Caenorhabditis elegans: one gene and its partners. The protein of the gene in region 3 purifies or fractionates together with the protein of the main gene of each other region. This does not show direct contact. Each region holds a gene or a part of one and is shown on either strand. Other genes may lie near its edges. The genes, in order: herc-1, madf-3 and rep-1.

The links.
Region 1: the proteins of rep-1 (region 3) and herc-1 fractionate together in Caenorhabditis elegans (co-fractionation; one large-scale study listed by BioGRID). This does not show direct contact.
Region 2: the proteins of rep-1 (region 3) and madf-3 fractionate together in Caenorhabditis elegans (co-fractionation; one large-scale study listed by BioGRID). This does not show direct contact.

The regions. Positions count from the first base shown.
Region 1 is NC_003279.8:1,209,807-1,214,515, reverse strand, and holds the start of herc-1 (HECT domain-containing protein), read right to left. Parts: upstream 3,032-4,709; 5' UTR 3,022-3,031; coding exon 2,928-3,021; intron 1,943-2,927; coding exon 1,743-1,942; intron 730-1,742; coding exon 537-729; intron 1-536. Other genes in the region: nsun-2 (tRNA (cytosine(34)-C(5))-methyltransferase), read right to left, coding at 3,511-3,654.
Region 2 is NC_003280.10:4,332,879-4,339,540, forward strand, and holds madf-3 (Alcohol dehydrogenase transcription factor myb/sant-like protein), read left to right. Parts: upstream 1-1,869; 5' UTR 1,870-1,933; intron 1,934-2,797; 5' UTR 2,798-2,828; coding exon 2,829-3,392; intron 3,393-4,194; coding exon 4,195-4,273; intron 4,274-4,835; coding exon 4,836-4,932; intron 4,933-5,347; coding exon 5,348-5,546; 3' UTR 5,547-6,160; downstream 6,161-6,662. Other genes in the region: H20J04.4 (RNA helicase), read left to right, coding at 564-857.
Region 3 is NC_003281.10:1,568,446-1,576,337, reverse strand, and holds the start of rep-1 (Rab proteins geranylgeranyltransferase component A 1), read right to left. Parts: upstream 6,033-7,892; 5' UTR 6,015-6,032; coding exon 5,899-6,014; intron 4,915-5,898; coding exon 4,845-4,914; intron 4,795-4,844; coding exon 4,564-4,794; intron 3,786-4,563; coding exon 3,634-3,785; intron 3,539-3,633; coding exon 3,331-3,538; intron 2,592-3,330; coding exon 2,413-2,591; intron 2,112-2,412; coding exon 1,952-2,111; intron 1,391-1,951; coding exon 1,294-1,390; intron 1,245-1,293; coding exon 1,167-1,244; intron 1,006-1,166; exon of another isoform or gene 933-1,005; intron 909-932; exon of another isoform or gene 836-908; intron 564-835; exon of another isoform or gene 488-563; intron 467-487; exon of another isoform or gene 394-466; intron 258-393; coding exon 130-257; intron 1-129. Other genes in the region: Y67D2.2 (Ubiquitin carboxyl-terminal hydrolase), read right to left, coding at 6,487-6,582. UniProt on the Caenorhabditis elegans protein: Substrate-binding subunit of the Rab geranylgeranyltransferase (GGTase) complex. Binds unprenylated Rab proteins and presents the substrate peptide to the catalytic component B and remains bound to it after the geranylgeranyl transfer reaction.

The DNA of each region.
Region 1 (4,709 bases), on a different chromosome or scaffold from region 3:
CATGATTTTTTGGTCGTCGTTGGTACAAAAATTATTAAAAGCAACAAAAAATGCTTCAAAATTAGCAAAAATTAGCAAAAAATTTCGCCGCCAATTCCTAACGAGACCCAACTTTTCTTTTGGCGTTGAAGCGGGATTACATTTTTATTTTTTATTTTCAAAAAAATCCAGCTTTCCGTTTTTGCAAATTATTCGAAAACAAATATTCCTTCAAAAGACGAAAAGTTTATTTTTCCTAAACTACAGTAATCCTACAGTACTACTACAGTACTCCTACAGTACCCCTACAGTACTACTACAGTACCCCGACCATATCCCCCCCACTAACCCCAAACCAATATCCATTCAAAAGAGAAAAAGTCAAATTTCCCTAAACTACAGTAATCCTACCGTACTCCTACAGTACCCCTACAGTACTACTACAGTACCCCGACCATATCCCCTTACTAAATTTTTCAATTTTTCAGGTTTTTGAGATACTTTTTGGACTTTTCCAGCAAAAATTTGAATTTTTTCACAAATTTCCAAATTTCTACCTTCATCCAACGCAATACAATGATTGGATCCAGACGCCACTTGTACAATATCATTAATCTCTTGAACACGTCGTGGTGTTCCCTGCCACGTGAATTTACTCTCCATTCCGAGTTGTCCGTGCTCATTGGAGCCCCAAGCGAAGACACGCCCATCGTCGGTTACGGAGACTGTGTGAGAACGGCCAGCAGAGATCTGAAAAATGGAATTTCTACGAGAAGGCGATCTATGGAAATTGGCTCTGCGAAAAGGAGATCCACGGAAAATGGATCTGAAGTAAGGGAATTTATGAAAAAAGCATCTACGAGAAGGTGATCAACCAGATGGGGATCTATGAGAAGGGGATCTGCGAGATTATTATTTTCGAAAATCGAATCTACGAAAGGGAGATTATACGGAAAGGCTATCTTTGAAAATGGGATCTACGAAAGGGGGAATTCTACGGAAATGGGATCTACGAGAAGGAGATCTACGGAGAGGGTAATTATGGAAAAAATCTACATTAAAGGCAAAAAGGGATCTATGGAAAATATATGTACAAAAAAGAGCATCTACGAAACGGAGATCTACGAGAAGAGAATCTACAAAAAAAGGGATCTGGGAGAAGAGGATCTAGGAATTAGCCATTCTACGAGAGGAGAATCTATGGAAAAGGATCTACAAAACGTCGTTCTGCGTAAAGGAGATCTCCGAGAAGGGAAGTCTATGGAAGGCAGATCTATGAAAAGAGAATTTACAAAAAAGAGAGCTGCGAGAAGGGTGATCTACGAAAAGAAGATCTACGGCAAAGGAATCTTCGAGAAGGGAGCTTGCACGAAACAGAGATCTACGAAACGGGAACCAAAATTAATTCTATGAGAAGGAGATTTACGAGAAGTGAATCTACCAAAAGAGTATCTGGGAGAAGAGGATCTAGAAATTTGCTATTCTACGAGAAGGGGATCAACAAGACGGAGATCTACGAAACGGGGATCTACGAGAAGAGAATTTACGCAAATGGGAACTATGGGAAGAGGATCTGCGAGATGGAAATCTAAGAAAAGGGGATTCCACGGAAAAAGAGTTTACAAAAATGAGATCTACGGGATTTTCTCGCCAAAAACTAGGGAAAAACGAAAAATTTTTTATTTTTCAAATGTTATTTAGCGAAAAAATATGGTAAAATCATTTTCTAATGGATTTTCGCCAAAAAAAAAACTCAAAGTTACCTGAATAATTTTCGCACTGCTTGTCCAAGAAACCGGATAAATCGAAAAAGAACCCTCAGTCCGACTGCCTCGTCCCAATTGTCCATCCATATTACTACCAACACTCCACATTTTGCCATCTTTTGTCAGGAATACTGTATGTTGTTCACCACACGTGACTGACGTCACTGCGGTTCCATCCATATCATTTGGAGCGCCAACTGAAATTTTGAACAATTTTCAGAGAAAATTCCGAGACGATTTTAAACTATTTTCACACAGTTTTTAAACAAATATTCAAAAAAAAAGAGTTTTTTAAAGATGCATACAATTTTGCTCCAAAGTAATCAATTTTTTTTCGTTAGGCAAATTGCCGATTTGCTGGAAATTTTCATTTTAGGCAAATTGCCGATTTGCCGGAAATTTTAATTTCTGGCTTTTTGCCGATTTGCCGGAATCTATCATTTTTGAAAAATTGCCGATTTGCCGGAATCTCTCATTTTCGGCAAATTGCCGATTTCCGGAAATTTTAAGTTCTGGCTTTTTGCCGGTTTGCCGGAATCTATCATTTTCGGCAAATTGCCGATTTGCCGGAAATTTTAATTTCTGGCTTTTTGCCGATTTGCCGGAATCTATCATTTTTGACAAATTGCCGATTTGCCGGAATCTCTCATTTTCGGCAAATTGCCGATTTCCGGAAATTTTAATTTTAGGCAAATTGTGGATTTGCAGAAAATTTTAATTTCTGGCTTTTTGCCGATTTGCCGGAATCTATCATTTTTGACAACTTGCCGATTTGCCGGAATCTTTCATTTTAGGAAAATTGCCGATTTGCCGGAACCTTTCATTTTAGGAAAATTGCCGATTTCCGGAACCTTTCATTTTAGGCAAATTGCCGATTTGCCGGAAATTTTCATTTTAGGCATATTGCCGATTTGCCGGAAATTTTCATTTTAGGCAAATTGTCGATATGCAGAAAATTTTAATTTCTGGCTTTTTGCCGGTTTGCCGGAATCTTCCATTTCCGGCAAAATGTCGGTTTGCCATTATTTCTTTAAAAAAGTTTTTTTTAAAGTTTTGTGAAAGATTTACAAAAATCTTCCAATTGTTTTTTTTTCATCCGAAATTTTTTAATTTTTAAAATTTAATTTCGGAATTAATTTTTTTTTCTGTTTTCTAATTTCTGCAACAAAAATAGCTCCGTACTAATTCTCTCGGGAACTTGAATCGTCGACTCGGAGAGCCGAACGCCGAGCTGTCCCTCGCCCGTGTGTCCACATCCGAGCAGCTCAGCTCGCATTTTCTGAAATCTGATTTTTTTAACAATTAAATTTTAAAAAAACAATCTAGAAAATATCATAGTGTGATCTCAACAACTTTAGTTTTTGAAGCAGTATCAGAGGAAAAAATCTGAAAAAAAAATTCAAATTTTTTCAAAAAAAAAAATCAAATAACAACTGCAACAACAATAAAGGGAACACGTTGTGACAGAATGTCTCATTTCGGTTTGATCTACCTAGATCTACAAAAAATGCGGGAGTTGAGACGCAGAGTTCTCAACTGATTTTGCACGATTAAAAACGTGCTGACGTCACAGTTTTTTGGGGAAAAATTCCCGCATTTTTTGTAGATCAAACAGAAATGAAACACTTTGGCACCACGTGAGGGAACAAAAAAAAATCGGTGGCCGAGTTTTTTCCACACGGCCACGTAGCAGAATTTATAACTGTGTAGGGGATAAATGGAGATAAATTAAAGGAGAAAAAAGAGATAACAAAAAAAAAACAAATTATTCAGTCATTTCTTGAACATTTTCTTCTGGAATTTCCAGAGTTTCAGCAGATTCTGGAGCATCAGTTGAGCTGCTGGACGGCTCCGCAGCCTTTGCGGCTTCTTCCTTGCGAGCCCACGCGGCTTCACGGTCTTGGGCGGCCTGAAAAATTGATTTTTTGGACAAAAATTTAACTTATTTCTCATGAAATTACTAACAATTTGTGAAAACTTCCAAAAAAATTTAGTTAAACTTTTTTATTAGTTTTTTTTCTTCAATTTTCAAATTATCCTATTTTTCTAAAAATAACAATTTTCCGGAAATTCTAATTTCTGGCAATTCGCCGGTTTGCTGATTTGCCGAAAATTCTAATTTCTGGCAATTTGCCAGTTTGCTGATTTGCCGGAAATTCTAATTTCTCGCAATTTGCCGATTTGCCGGAAAATTAAAATTCTGGCAATTTGCAGAAAATTTGATTTCTGGCAATCTGGCGGTTTGCCGATTTGCCGGAAATTTTAATTTCTGGCAATTTGCCAATTTGCCGGAGATTTTAATTTCTGGCAATTTGTCAGTTTGTTGATTTGCCGAAAATTCTAATTTCTGGAAATTTGCCGGCTTGCCGATTTGCCGAAAATTCTAATTTCTGGAAATTTGCCGGCTTGCCGATTTGCCGAAAATTCTAATTTCTGGCAATTTGCCGGTTTGCTGATTTGCCGAAAATTCTAATTTCTGGCAATTTGCCGATTTGCCGGAGATTTTAATTTCTGGCAATTTGTCAGTTTGCTGATTTGCCGGAAATTCTAATTTCTGGCAATTTGCCGGTTTGCTGATTTGCCGAAAATTCTAATTTCTGGCAATTTGCTGATTTGCCGGAGATTTTAATTTCTGGCAATTTGTCAGTTTGTTGATTTGCCGAAAATTCTAATTTCTGGCAATTTGCCGGCTTGCCGATTTGCCGAAAATTCTAATTTCTGGCAATTTGCCGGTTTGCTGATTTGCCGGAAATTCTAATTTCTGGCAATTTGCCGGTTTGCTGATTTGCCGGAAATTCTAATTTCTGGCAATTTGCCGGCTTGCCGATTTGCCGGAAATTCTAATTTCTGGCAATTTGCCGGTTTGCTGATTTGCCGGAAATTCTACTATCTGGCAATTTGCTGATTTGCCGGAAATTTTAATTTCTGGCAATTTTTCGGTTTGCCGGAAATTTTAATTTCTGG
Region 2 (6,662 bases), on a different chromosome or scaffold from region 3:
AATGAAGCGCATATTTACCTGAAAAAATATTTTAAAGAAAAATCTTTAAATCTTTAAAAAATTGAATTTTTTTTCTAAAATTTGATTTCAAAAAACATGAGAAACATATAATTTTCGGCAAAAAATAGGGAAAAATTGCCTAAATTTGAAGCTATATTTTTTTTTCGGAAAATCTAGAAAAAAAGCGAAAAAAAAACAAAAATTGCACTTCTTTTGTAATTTTCCAGTGCCATATTTTGGATAAAAAAGGAAAATTTTTAATTTTTTTTTCGAAAAAAGCGAGTTTTTCTGCTAAAAACACGAAAAAGGCGGAAGAAACATTTTTTTTCAAAAAATTTGAATTTCCCGCCAAAATATTGAATTTCCAAACTCCTTCCACTTTCAATGACGCCAAAAAAAAATATTTTCCTCTCATTTTTCACTCTCTAGTTGACTGCGTTTCTCTCTATATTGACGCAAATAATTTTTTTTTCATCATTTTTTCCCCCGTCTCTTTTCATTTCTCTACACAAAAAATCTACTTTTTAATCAATAAATTCCCTTAATTTTCGCATTTTTTTCAGGTCAGCCCAAAACATGTCACCAAATACGTCACCCAAGTGCTTGTGGCGAAGAAAGAAGCCGAGTTGAAGCTGGAAAATCAGAAATTCGGAGAGAAAAAGGAGATTAATCGAAGAAAAGAGCTTCTGATGAGTGGAATGGATGAAGATGAAGCTGATAGGCATTTGGAGGAAATGAGGACTCGAAGAATGACAAATTCCAAGAGAAAGCTGGAGAAAATTAGTGGACAATTGGATAAAAGAGATCGATTTCAGAAGAAATTGGCGGCGAAAAAAGTGAAAAAGGAAGAAAATTGAATTCATTTTAAATATTGTAATTTTTGTTCAGCTTGTGTCGATTTACGCGGCTCGTGTACTCCTCGTGGAGAAGTGCAAAATTTTTACAGTTTTTGCTCAAAATTACAGAAAACTGTTAACAAAATGCAAATTTTTGAACAATTAAAACAATTAAAAGTGGCCAAAAATTACCAAAAATTGCAAATCTCCACTTTTTCAAATTAAAATTACGGTATATTTTTGGCATTTAAAGTTGTGTTTGCGGCAAACGATTTTTTTCCGGCAAATCGGCAAATTTGCCGGAATTGAAAATTTGCGGTAAATCGGCAAACCTGCAACTTGCCGAAAAAACGGAAATTGCCATAGATTTTCGGCAAATTGCGATTTTTTACCTTTTTTTTTTTTGATATTTCAGAATTTAAATTTTAATCGGCAAAACTGTACGCATCCTATGACTATTCCTACATCTAATTTGAAAATTGGCAAATTCTATGAAAATATCTAGAAAACCGACAAAAAAATTTCAAAAAAGCACAGTTTCAAGTTTTTCCGTCTCGTAAAAATTCTTCCAAAAAATTCCTGCAAATTTATGTTCGGTAAATCGGCAGGTCGACAATTCGCCGATTTGCCGATTTTGTCGACAAAGAAATTTGCCGAACAGCAACTGTTAACAAAATGCAAATTTTTAATTTAAAATTAAAATTTTTAAGTTGCCAAAAATCACCAAAAATTGAAAATCTCATTTTTTTTCTGGGATTTAAAGCAAAAAATCATTTTTTTTTAGTGTTAAATTCAAAATTCTAGTACTTTACTTCTCCTCGTGGAGTACACGAGCTTGCGATTTCTGTTGTTTTAGATTTAAATTGTTACTTTTTTTGTTTTGTTTTGTTTTTTTGTTGTTGATTTCTTTTGAAAAAAAATCAATATTTTCTATCACATCTATTTTCTTTTTATTCCCCATAATGGTTTCCTTAAAACCTTCCTCATAATATCTCTAAAAGCCGTCTCAAAAAGCGATTGCTCTAACACTTTCAGCTAATCATGATCTCCAGTGAGCACAACTATCAGCATTTATATCACGAAGAACAATACGATATGTGAGTTTAAAATGATATTTGGATAAATTTAGAAAAATCGAATTTTTGAAAAAAAAAATCAGATTTTTCTCAAAAAAGATCCAATTTATTTTCCGATAAATTGGCGAAAAATCAACAATTTTTTATATATGAAAAAAGAAAATTTTTCTAATTGTAAGTACTTACGAAGTGCTAAAAATAATTTAATCTACTAAATAAAAAAATTAAAAAAAAACTTTTGTTGTCAAAATTTTTTTTTTTCAACAAACAATTTTTTATTTTAAAAAGGTAAAAAATCAGTTTTTGCAAACACTTTTTTTCGAAAAAAAAAAACGTTTTTTACTTTAAAAAAAAGATGTTTCTAAAAACCTTCGAAAAATACCAGATTTTTCGAAAAAATTGCAATTTTTTTAATACGAAAATTTAAAAAAGTTAATTTTCGAAACAAGTCCATTTTTTAATTATATATTCTATCAAAAAAAATTGAATTAAAAAAAAACTTGATCTTCCATTAAAAACACATTTTTTTTCGATAAAAATCTTTAAAAATCTTAAGGTGTTTTTTCTTGAGAAAAAATACTCGATTTTCTTTTTAAAAAAAACTGCGCTTTTTTTGTAAAAAATTTAAAAAAAAATTAATTTCCGACAGAAAAACTATTTTTTAAAATTATATATTCGATAAAAATTCAAAAAATCGCGTTTTCCTTTAAGAACATATTTTTGGATAAAGTTTGATGTTATCAGTTTTTTTTTTCAAATTAGAAAAATCAAAAATTCACTCAAAAAAATCCCAAAAAGCATTTTTCCGAAAAAAAAGTTCGCTTAAAAAAATCAGAAAATTATCTGATTTTTCTAAAAAAAATCATAAATAACCTTTTTTTGCAGGAACTACACAGCGACCCGCTTCGGCGAGGAAATGATCGAACCGACATTCAACCTACGTCTCATCGAAGCCGTCCGTCATAGTCGATGCCTTTTCGACAATACAGACCGACAATACCGTAATACAGAATACAAAAATCGAGTTTGGCAGCGTCTGGTTACTGTACTCGGTTTTGATGGTGATCCGAGAATGTTATCTGCGAGATGGAAGCAATTAAGAGATAAATATGGAAAAGAGAAGAGAAAACAAAAATATGGAAATGAGAAATCATCATGGCAATATTTCAAACATCTTCATTTTCTAGATCCACATATGACAGATCGAGCAGAAATATCACCATCTCGAAAAGAGCCAACTGGAGTTCATGAAAAGATTGCTGAGCCATGTTTTGGAAAAAATCTAATTCTTGAAGTGAGAAGGCATCCGTGTCTTTATGATGTTCGTGATCCAAAATATCGTCATGGAGACTGTCGTACTCAAGCATGGGGAATGATTATTGATAAACTACGATATCCTGGAACAGTTCCGTCGATTTATAAACAATGGAAGAAGCATCGAGATCGATATGTTAGGGAGAAGAGGAGGCTGAGGAATTTGGTAGGCATTTGGAGGCCTCATGAAAAGGAGAACTTATGGAAAATGGGATCTGGCAGGCGGCAGTTGCCGGTTTACCTATTTGCCGGAAATTTTGATTCCCGGCAAAGTGACGATTTGCCGGAAATTCTAATTTTAGGCAATTTGCCGGTTTTCCGGAAATTTTGATTTTTGGCAAATTGCCTATTTGCCGGAAGTTTTCATTTTGGGCATTTTGCCGATATGCCGGAATTTTTAATTTTAGGCAATTTGGCGATTTGCCCGAAATTTTGATTTTTGGAAAATTGCCTATTTGCCGGAAATTTTGATTTTTGGCAAGTTGCCGATTTGGCGATTTGCCGGAAATTTTGATAAACGGCAAATTTGGCGATTTGCCGGAAATTTTGATAAACGGCAAATTTGGCGATTTGCCGGAAATTTTGATATTCGGCAAATTTCCGGTTTGGCGATTTGCCGGAAATTCTAATTTTAGGCAATTTGGCGATTTGCCGGAATATTTTTATTTTCGGGATATTGCCTATTTGGCGATTTGCCGGAAGTTTTAATTTCGGGCAATTTGCTGATTTGCCGGTTTGCCGGAAATTTCGATTTTCGACAAATTCGGCAAGTTGGAAATTTGCCGGAATTGCCGGAAAAAATCGTTTGCCCCTCCCTGCCTGGCACTGCCAACGCACAAAACTCAATTTTTCTTTGAGAAAAAATTGGCACAGTGCCAGAATCCCCTTTCTCAACAGTATCCCGTTTTCGTGGAGCCTCTATTTTTGTTTTAAACAGAAATTTTACAAATTTTTCTTAGCAACTTCAGGGTGATCCGAATGTTCAAGATGTGTCAACTTGGGAGATGTATGATGATATGGCTTGGATAGATCAGCATTTGGATGAACGTACGAGCTTTTTTTCCTGGAAAATTAAAACAAAAAACCTTTAAATCAAACTGATCCTGAATGCCGAAATACCATAAAAGGCCCCCGAAAAAAAAAATCAAAAATCATTAAGTTTGAAAAAAAATCGGTTGATTTTGGTTAATTTTCAATTCTGACTAATCTCCTAATCATTTAAATTGCCGCGCCTTTTTCAGCGCCGCACTCCGTAGATCTGTATCTGCGCGACGTTAATTCTAGTTTTTCCCGTTTTTTCCTCGCAAGTGAAGACAATAGTGCGGATGCAGATCTACGGACAATAGTGTGGATGCAGAGAGATTCAGGATCAGTTTGCGCATTTTGAAGTAAAATCCCTCATTTACTCCTACTCCTCCAGCTTTAAAATCGTTTTTTTTCCTCAATATAAATACGAAAAAAGAGTTTAGTTTTAGAACTCTTGTTTTGACATGTAAAAAATTTCGCACCGCCATATGTGAAATTACGAATTACGCAGTTCCATGTATTATTTTACGTGGCTCCTAAAATCGCCGGAATAAATACTTTAAAAAAAACTAAAATTTTGCAGAGCAACTATCTCGATGTGCTCGAAGTCTGAAACGAGGGGGAAACAATGACGGAGGAAATCAGGATGAAATGTCAGATTATGGAGATTACGATGATGAGTGAGTGAGCTAAAATGAGCAAAAAGTTGATGAAAAAAAAAGAGGAAATTTGACTCTAAAATTGATCAACTTCTAACCAATCAGCGCTCGGCCCCTTCTCTTTTTTGAACCAATCAGCGACGACCTGTGCCGCTGATTGGTTCGGAATTGCGCGGAGTCGGGCGCTGATTGGTCGGAAGCAAATAGTGGCGGTTTTAAGACAATTTTCGGTGATTTCTATTAGATTCTCTAGAAAAATTGAAAAATTTTCAAAAAAAAAAATTCAAAGATTTAGAAAAATGAAATTTTAAAAATTTGGAATTTGCGAAAACTTGATGATTTGGTGCAATTTTTTCCGACAAGTAATCACAGATAATTCCAAAATAATAATTTTATTTTGCCAAAAAAAAAATCAATAAACCCCTGAAATTTCCAGCATAAACTACGTGATGATGGCTGAAAAGCGACCAAACAACGGTGATGTACTTCTCGACGGAGATTCTGCATTCTCTGCATCAATTGTATCGGATCTAAGGACACTTGGAGAAGAAGCACGAATAATTGCAAAGCAGCAGATTATGATACTTTTGGAATCCGCTAAACCTCCGTCTACACCTGCTCCTAATTATTTGTGATTTTTATTGAATTTTCTAGCCGAAATTTTCAATTTTTTGTCCACTTTTTATTACCCAACCTCGAAATTTCTTCGATTTTACCCCAAGCCGGGTCTCGCCACGACCCAAATTGATAAGTTGAAAACTTTTTTTTTGATAAGTTGAAAATTGAAAAAAGTGTGCGCCTTTAAAGAGTACTGTGTTTAACTGTGAATTTTTGTCGAGTTTTTCTCACAATTTGTGAAAATTTATTGTCTTTTTTATCGAAAAACTATGAAAAATTGATGAAAATTCACGAATTTTTGAAGTTACAGTACTCTTTAAAGGCGCACACCTTTACACACGCACTTAACAAAAATTGTCGCTTCGAGACCCCAGGTACTGTAGTCTTGGCGCATTTATTTCCAATTTTTTTGATCTTTATCCCATCAACTGGTCTCATCATATTTTCATATTTGTACAATATTTCTGTATCTGTATTTTTTTTTGTAATTTTTGTGGGCAGTTTCTTAATTTCCATCGCCGTCTTTCCTATCTCAGGTCCTTTTATTTCATGAATAATTGATTTTTATCCTAGAAAATTTGGATTTTTTGTTGTAAATTTACCTCTTTTAAGGTGTTCAAAACCTACTTTTTATCTGTGTTTTTTGAAAAATTTTGAAAAATTTTTTGCGGATGGGTCTCACCGCGAAGTCTGAAAGTTACACTGCAACTTTTTCCTCGCGAGGGACGAGGAAAAGTGGTTTCTAGGCCATGGCCGAGGGGCCGACAAGTTTCAGCGGCCATTTATCTTGCTTTGTTTTCCGCCTGTTTTCTTTCGTTTTTCATCGATTTTTTTCGTTTTTTCTTAATAAAACTGATAAATAAATATTTTTTGCAGATGCTAAAACAATTTCCAATTTCCAAGTGAAAAAATCATGCATTCAGTGGGCAAGCAGCGGTGAAAGTGGTCAATGTAATATGATGGATTACGGGAATACAAAACCTAAACTTTTTCTGAAACATGATACATATGATGCTTAGATGCTGAAATTACCTGATTTTCATAACGAGACCGCTGAAAAAGTTTTGAGGTTTTCAAAATTCAATTTTTTTGTGCGAAAATCTCGACTTTTTCACCAAAAAAGTTGAATTTTG
Region 3 (7,892 bases):
TCTGAAAAATTTTTCAAAAAAATTTTTTTTTTTTAATTTTTATATTTTTTCGAAATTTTTTTTTCTAATTTGAATTTCTAATTCAATTTCAGCTCAAAAATCCAATTTTCATCGTTCTTTCGCCCTAACCTCCTCCACCACACTAGCATAGTGTAAATTCGCATCAACTGGCGGCGCGACGACGACATTTTCGGCTCCGGCGGTGTCGAATTTCATGGAATTCGCGGTGAAGCTCATCTTCCAGTAGGGTTCCACTTCTGAAATGCAGAAAAAATATCGATTTTTCTAGGAAAAATCGAAAAACTCAAAAATATTAAAGAAAAACCGGGTTCCAAGCCAATTTTCGCGAATTTTAAGTGAAAAATTCGAAATCTCCGCCCTGAAAAACCTAAATACTCCCACGGGGACTCGAACCCCGGACCTTTTGCTCCGAAGTCAAGCCTGTTAGCCACTGCGCCACCGGTGCGCCGAACCAGCGGCGCGTGATGCAACGCGTGGCGCAGTGGCTAAGCGGCTCGCCTTTGGAGCAAAAGGTCCGGGGTTCGATTCTCCGTGGGGGTGTATAGGTTTTTTATAGCGGAGAATTCGAATTTTTCACTTAAAATTGGGGAAAATTCACTTGGAAATAATTTTTCTCAAAATTTCACTGAATCCTTGCTGAGATTTCAACTCTTGGAGTCTCTATTTTAGAACTTTGAAGCTTAACATATATTAATAGTTCAAAAAAATGGATTTTGTATCATTTTCGAGCGAAAATTTCAGGAAACTAGGTTGTAACTCAATTTTTGCGAATTTTAAGTTAAAAATTCGAAATGTTCGCTATGAAAAACCTATACACCACTGCGGGGACTCGAACCCCGGGACCATTTGCTCCGAAGTCAAGCCTGTTAGCCACTGCGCCACGGGGTGCAACATGCATCACTGGTTAGCTGCAACGCGTGGCGCAGTGGCTAAGCGGCTCGCCTTTGGAGCAAAAGGTCCAGGGTTCGATTCCCCGTGGGGATATATAGGTTTTTTATAGCGGAGAATTCGAATTTTTCACCTAAAATTAGGGAAAATTCACTTGGAAATGACTTTTCCATGAAAGTTTCTCAAATTTTAAGCGAAAAATAGGTTTTCGGTAGTGGAAATTCAAAATTTCCCCCTAAAAATTCCGCGAAAATCACCATTTTTTTCAAAAATCTTCTCTGCAATAGTCTTGACACTTGTTTCTCCTTCTTGGGTACCCGTTGCATGCACCAGAACTGCAAAAAAAAAATCTTTATTTTTCTAGGAAAAAACGTGGGGGCTTACAGTGTCCTTTCGGAGCCGTACAGGCTTCAAAGCCCACTTCAACAAGCCGTGAGACTGCGGCGTCGGGCCGGAGAGATGCCAGATTGAGGAGGGTTAGCTGAAAATTTTTTCGGATTTTTAATACGAAATTCGAAATCCCCGCAAAATTTCACTCTAGAATTATTTTTTCCCAGGCTTCTAGCTCAATTTTGAAATTTTCGGGGTTACTGTAGCGCCAAAAGTACGCGATGCCCCCGTGGTGTTTGCGTACCTGACACCGAATTTTACGAAATTGAACCCAAATTGGCTTAAATTTCAGTTACGGGGTAAATTGGCAACGGGGAATTCGAATTTTGCATTGAAAATCAACTAGGAGCACTGGTTTCTCGAGTAAAATTAAATTTTTCTCGAAAACCAGTTGACCAAGGTGGTTTTCAATGCGAAATTCGAATTTCCCGTTGCCAATTCACCCCGGAACATGATTTTCAGCCAATTTAAGCTCAATTTCGTAAAATTCGGTCTCAGGTACGCAAGCACCGAGGTCAACGTACTTTTGGCGCTACAGTAACCCCAAAAATTGTAACATTGAGCTAGAAGCCCGGGGAAATTGAATTCTAGAGTGGAATTTTGCGGGAAAATCGAATTTCCTGGTGGAAAACTCCAAAAAATGCTCCGGAACCTGTTCTTTCTCGGCTTCTTTAATCGATTTATCCGTCGCATAGACGATTCTCTCGATTTTCAGCGTACTACTAGCTGGAACAGTTTCGGGGACAAATCTCGGGGACATCACGATGTAGCGACAATTTACACGATCTCCATTGGCAATTACAGCCGTAATTCTGGAAATTTTTGAGAAAATTGGTTTTCCGACAAATTGAAAATTTGGGCATAGCTTCCGCATCTCCGAGTGACAAATGTGCTCTATTGTCAAATTGTTGGCAGAAATACGGTATTTATTCACATTTTCAGCACAATTTAAGGCTGAAAATGTGAATAAAAACAGTTTTTATGCCATCAATCTGGGTAGAAACACATGAGTCACGGAATATTGTATAAAACTAGTTTTGCTGGGAATTTGACTTGAAAATTAGGTCAAATTTCGCAGAAACTATTGATTTTTCGCTTATTCTCTTCACTAACTTTCCATCTTTTTTCACGATAGCCTGTACAGGCCGTCCCAGACAATATAAGCTCCCAAAGACTGCTGCCAGCCGGCAAAAGCACTGTGAGAGCTCTCCACATCCGTAGAGTGGGAAGAGGAATGGCGATGGACCGAAATGGCCGACAGAATCCATGAACTGGCATGATGCCAACATTCCCTGGAATTTGGAAAAATTTTAAATTTTGAAAAAAATTTTTTTTTTTTTTTGAAAATTTGTTTTTCTCAAAATTTTTTTCAATTTCAAATTTGACATGAAAATCAACTCGAAATTCGAATTCTCCACATCACCAGCTTCCAAATGACACCCATCATGCCCATGATCCATCGATTTTGAAAATTTTGGGTCCCGCCACGAGGGGTACTGTAGCACCGGTTTCAGCTGTGTCGGAGCGCAAACTGCACGGAAAATGGGCATGATGGGGGTCATTGTAAAGCTGAAAGCGTTAGAGATTTGAATTTTTCAAAAATTTTTAGCAAAATAGACAAAATCAACATTTTTTCGAAAAAAAAAATAATTTTTTGCTCAAATTTTTTTCAATTATAAATTTCTTTTCAAATCGACTCAAAACTCGAATCCTCCACATCATCATCTTTCTAAAGACCCCCATACTGCCCGGGTTCCGATGATTTTGAAAATTCGGGTCTCGCCACGCGGGGTACTGTAGCACCGGTTTCAGCTGTGTCGAGACTGCCAAAACTCAAAATCAACGGACCCCGGGCATGTTGGGGGTCATTTTGAAGCTGAGAGTGGCGAGAATTCAAATTTTTCAATAATATTTTGAAAAAAATTGAAGTAAATTTCGTGCAAAAAAAAAAATTTTGGATTTTTTTTTCATTTTCAATTTTTTTAGAAATTCAGATTTTTTTCTAAAAAACAGTAATTTCCGCATATTCACCGTCATCGCAGTGGGTCTTTGCTGTAAAATGCCGATCGTATTAATAATAAAGCTCTGCAGGGTCTTTCCAACGCCCATTTGCTCCAAAAACTCTGAAAACGGGCGGTCGGCGTGCTCGGCGAGCAGTTTTCTGCCTTCTTCCGTGTCTTTTGTGCTCCATTGTGTGCAGAATGTGATGAATTTCATAAGAGCTCGCTTTTCCAGGATTCTGGAAGAATTTTTGGAGATTTATCATTGCGAATCGATTTTTTTGGCAAAGAAAATCGATATTTTATCGATTTTCAGCCTAAAAAAATCCCTTACGACAAAGCATTGCTCTGAAAAATCTCTCCTTTGCTACATGGCACCGGATTTAGGGTAATTCCGGCTTCTGGGGTCTCTGTTGGGCATAGCTGCCGGTTGACAAGCTTAAACTCGGCATAATGGGATACTTGGGAGTCACAGAGTGTTTGAACCTGAAAAAATTCAAAAAATTGGAAGAAAATCGTTTTTTTTTTCCAAATTTTTTTCAAGATTTTCAAAATTTTCCCATAAATTTTTGTCAAACTTTTCAATATCTGAAAATAATGCGGAAATTCGAATTTTTCGACGCTCTCAGCTTTCGAATGACCCCCAACATGCCCCGGCTCCGTTGATTTTGACTTTTGGAAGTTTTGACACAGCTGAAGCCGGTGCTACAGTAACCCGCGTGGCGAGACCCAAAAAAATCAAATTGCATGGAACCAGGGCATGATGGGGGTCATTTTGAAGCTGGTGATGTGAAGATCTCGGAAAAAATGTTAATTTTTGAATATTCTGAAAATTGACAATTTTTTGGAAAATATTTTTCAATTTTTTTAAATTTTCGATATTTCAGAAAACTAGCAAATAATTCGAATTCTCCACTTTATCAGCTTTCAAATGACCCCCAACATGTCCGTGGTCCGTTGATTTTGAATTTTGGCAGTCTCGACACAGCTGAAATCGATGCTACAGTAACCCGCGTGGCGAGACCCAAAATTTTCAAAGCGGTCGGAACCTGGGCATGTTGGGTGTCATTAGACAGCTGGTGGCGTAGAGAATTCGAATTTCAGAGTTTTAAATGAGGAAATTGAATTTTTAGAAAAATTTTTCTTTTTTTTCAGAAAAAAAGTTTCAAAAAAAATTTTTTTTTTGGCAAAAATTGATTTTTTGATGACTATTAGGGCAAAACATCAAGTTCTCCAATTTAGGTGTAATTTTGCAATTTTGTACCATTGCTCCCTTGGAAAGTAGAATTTTCGGCACTAAATCGATGGAAAATCGCCGCATTTGTGAAGCCTCTTCCAGTTGCGTTTTCATCGGCTTTTCCTCGTCTTTTCCACGTGGAATCCACGTCATTTCAATGTTTTCCACGATTTCTCGATTGCCGAGCTCAATGAGCTGCTCATTTTCAGTCAAAAGCTCTGATAACTTGGAAATCTCCGAGGAATCCAGCTTTTTTACCTGAAAATTCGGAAATTTTGGGGTTTTTCTGGCTGAAAATCAATAAAAACCTGATTTTCAGTCACTTCATGAACCATCGACATTGTGAATGATGACCAATCACCGCCGTAGTACTCATTTCTGCAAAAATATTTTTTATTTCGAATTTTTCAAGAAATCGAGTATGAAATTCGAATTCCAGACGTTATCAGCTTTCAAATGACCCCCAACACGCCTAGGTTCCGTGCATTTTGACAACCGACACAGCTGAAATCGGTGCTACAGTAACCCGCGTGGCGGGACCCAAAATTCTCAAAGTAGGCGGAATATGGGCATGATGGGGGTCATTTGAAAGCTGGTAACGTGAAGATTTCAGAAAGAATTCTGATTTTTTAAATTTCTGAAAATTGAAAAATGTTTTGGCAAATATATATTTTTTTTTCTTAAAATTTGTTTAATTTTCGATATTTCCGAAAACGAACAATTAATCTGATTTCTCAACGTTATTAGCTTTCAAATGAGCCCCAACACGCCTAGGTTCGGTGTATTTTGACAATCGACACAGCTGAAATCGGTGCTACAGTAACCCGTGACGGGACCCAAAAAAATCAAAATCAATGGAATATGGACATGGTGGGGGGTTATTTTAAAGCTAGTGACGTGGAGAACTCGAATATGATATCAGTTGGCTGACATTTTTCGAAAATTGGAAACTTTTGACGTTTTCCGAAAAATTTTCCACAAACTTGGTCAGAAAATTTTTACTTTCTGATTTTTCCCGAAAATTAATGTGATATTTGAATTCATCAGGTTCTCAGCTTCAAAATGACCCCCATCATGCCCAGAATCCGTTTATTTTGGGTCCCGCCGCGAAAAACTACAGTAACCCGAGGAGTTTTCGTGGCGGGACCCGAAAACTTCAAAACCAGCGGAATATAGGCAATTTGGGGATCAAATTGAAGCTGGCGACGTGGAGAATTCGAATTTTGCTGTATTTTTGAGGAAAAGTTATGATTAAAAAAAAAATTTAGCCGAAAATAATTTTTTTTTCGCAAAAATTTTTTTTTTTTCAATTTCATTCATTCATTTTTTTAAACTTTTTTTAAATGTTAGTTCGCCTATTACCTATCTAAATGAAGCACAGATAAGCCAGCTCGAGCACAAGCTGAAGCCAGAATGGCTTCAGGTAGTCCGGTGCCCAGCACCACTACGTCCACTGATTCTGGCAACTTTTCGTCCATTTTTTAGAGCTGGAAAAGCTGGAAATAGTTTGAATTTTTGGAAAATAAGAGATGTCATGCTTAAATTTGAAAAATTGAAAAAAACCAAAAAAAAAAAAAATTTTTTTGAAAATTTTCCAAAAAAAATTTTTTTTTCTATTAAAATATTTGATTTACGGCTGAAAACCTTTAAAAATTAACTAAAAAAAGTGGAAAAAACACGAAAAATCTTCATTTTCACACACACACACAAAACTTAACAAAAATGGCACGGGACGGGGGGAAGAGTTATAATATTTTTTTCAAATTTTCTGAATTTTTGCACAAAAAATAAACTTTAAAGGAAATGCTACACGTTGTGTCATTAAAATGTTAAAATTTACAACAAAAAATAAGGGGAATCTAGCAACAAAATAAATCAATTGTTTGGGAAAAAAATTGCGAAATTTCCAAAAAAAAAATTTTCTCAAAAAAATCAATAAAAATCCAGAAATTACATCCTTTCGTAGAGTCGATGAGGTTTGACACGTTCGTAGAATAGCATATAACTTTGACAGGCTGCCACGTGGGAGTACGGTACACGGGTTACCTGAAAAATTATACAAGTTTTCGGGGGAAAAATGAAAATTTGGGCATAGCTTCCGCATCTCCGAGTGACAAATGTGCTCTATTGTCAAATTGTTGGCAGAAATACGGTATTTATTCACATTTTCGGCCAATTTAAGACTGAAACTGTGAATAAATACAGTTTTTATGCCACCAATACGAGTAGAAGCACATGGGTCACGAGAAAATGTTTAGGAAGGGAATATTTAGGAAATTCTGTGAATTTTAATAATATGTCGTTTTTGTGACAAAGGCTCTTCGTTGACTGGAAATTCAAATTTTCTGAGAAAAATAAATTCGAGAAAATTCTGGAATGTTCCAAAACTTTCTAGAGAAATCGGGAAAATTCTGAAGTGTTCAATTTCGTGGAAAATTTCAGGAACCTGCAAATTTCTAGAACCTTTCGGAAAGTTCAAAAAAAAAAACTTCTTCAAGTTTTGATACTCCTAGAATATTCTGAAGTTTCAATAATTTGAAAAAAAAAGATCAAAATTGTTATAATTTCCAGAAACGCTCGCCAAAAACTCTCGGAAAGGACCGGAAAAAAGTTTTATATGATTTGAAAAACGTTTTTTTTTAGTTGTAAACACTCAGCTATATAATATTTATGTTGCTCGAAAACTTCCGGAAAACAGAAAAAAAACGTTCCATCTACAGAGAAAGGCTTAGAAATTTTAGAATTTGATTTCAATTTTGAGTACGCCAGTCGGAGCACGCGCTTCAGCGCGTTCGAACGGCTGGTATATATATATTAGGTCTCCAAATAAGTTCCGGGTCAAAAATCATAACTTTGTTCGCTGCGTATCGATTTTTATGAAACTTTGGGAATTTACGTTATCAACCATGATCTTTCACTTGACAATAGTCACGAAAGTTTTTGACCACCCCAAGTGTCCTAACGCGGAGCCAATTTTTTCAGGCATTTTTCTGATCTCGCTTCTTTTCAGTTTTCAATTGAGCTTTGTGTGCGGATTTTGCTTTGTTTAGATTATTAGAAAACAACAGAAGTTTGGAAAAAAATCCGCCCAAAAAAAAATTTTTTTGGTTGGTCGTCAAAAAATGTTCAAAATAATTTTTGTCGAAAATTCTAGATTTTTCCTACAAAAATGATGTAACCAAGTGTAAACTATTTTTCGACATACAAAACATATCAACTTAGTTCGATACACTAAAATGATAGTAGAAAATACAATTTTTTCGGATAATTTTTTAGTTTTTTGAATATTTCTTGAGATTCAAATTTTTAACTCAAATGATTTATATGTGTAAAAATAGTTTACACTTGGTTACATC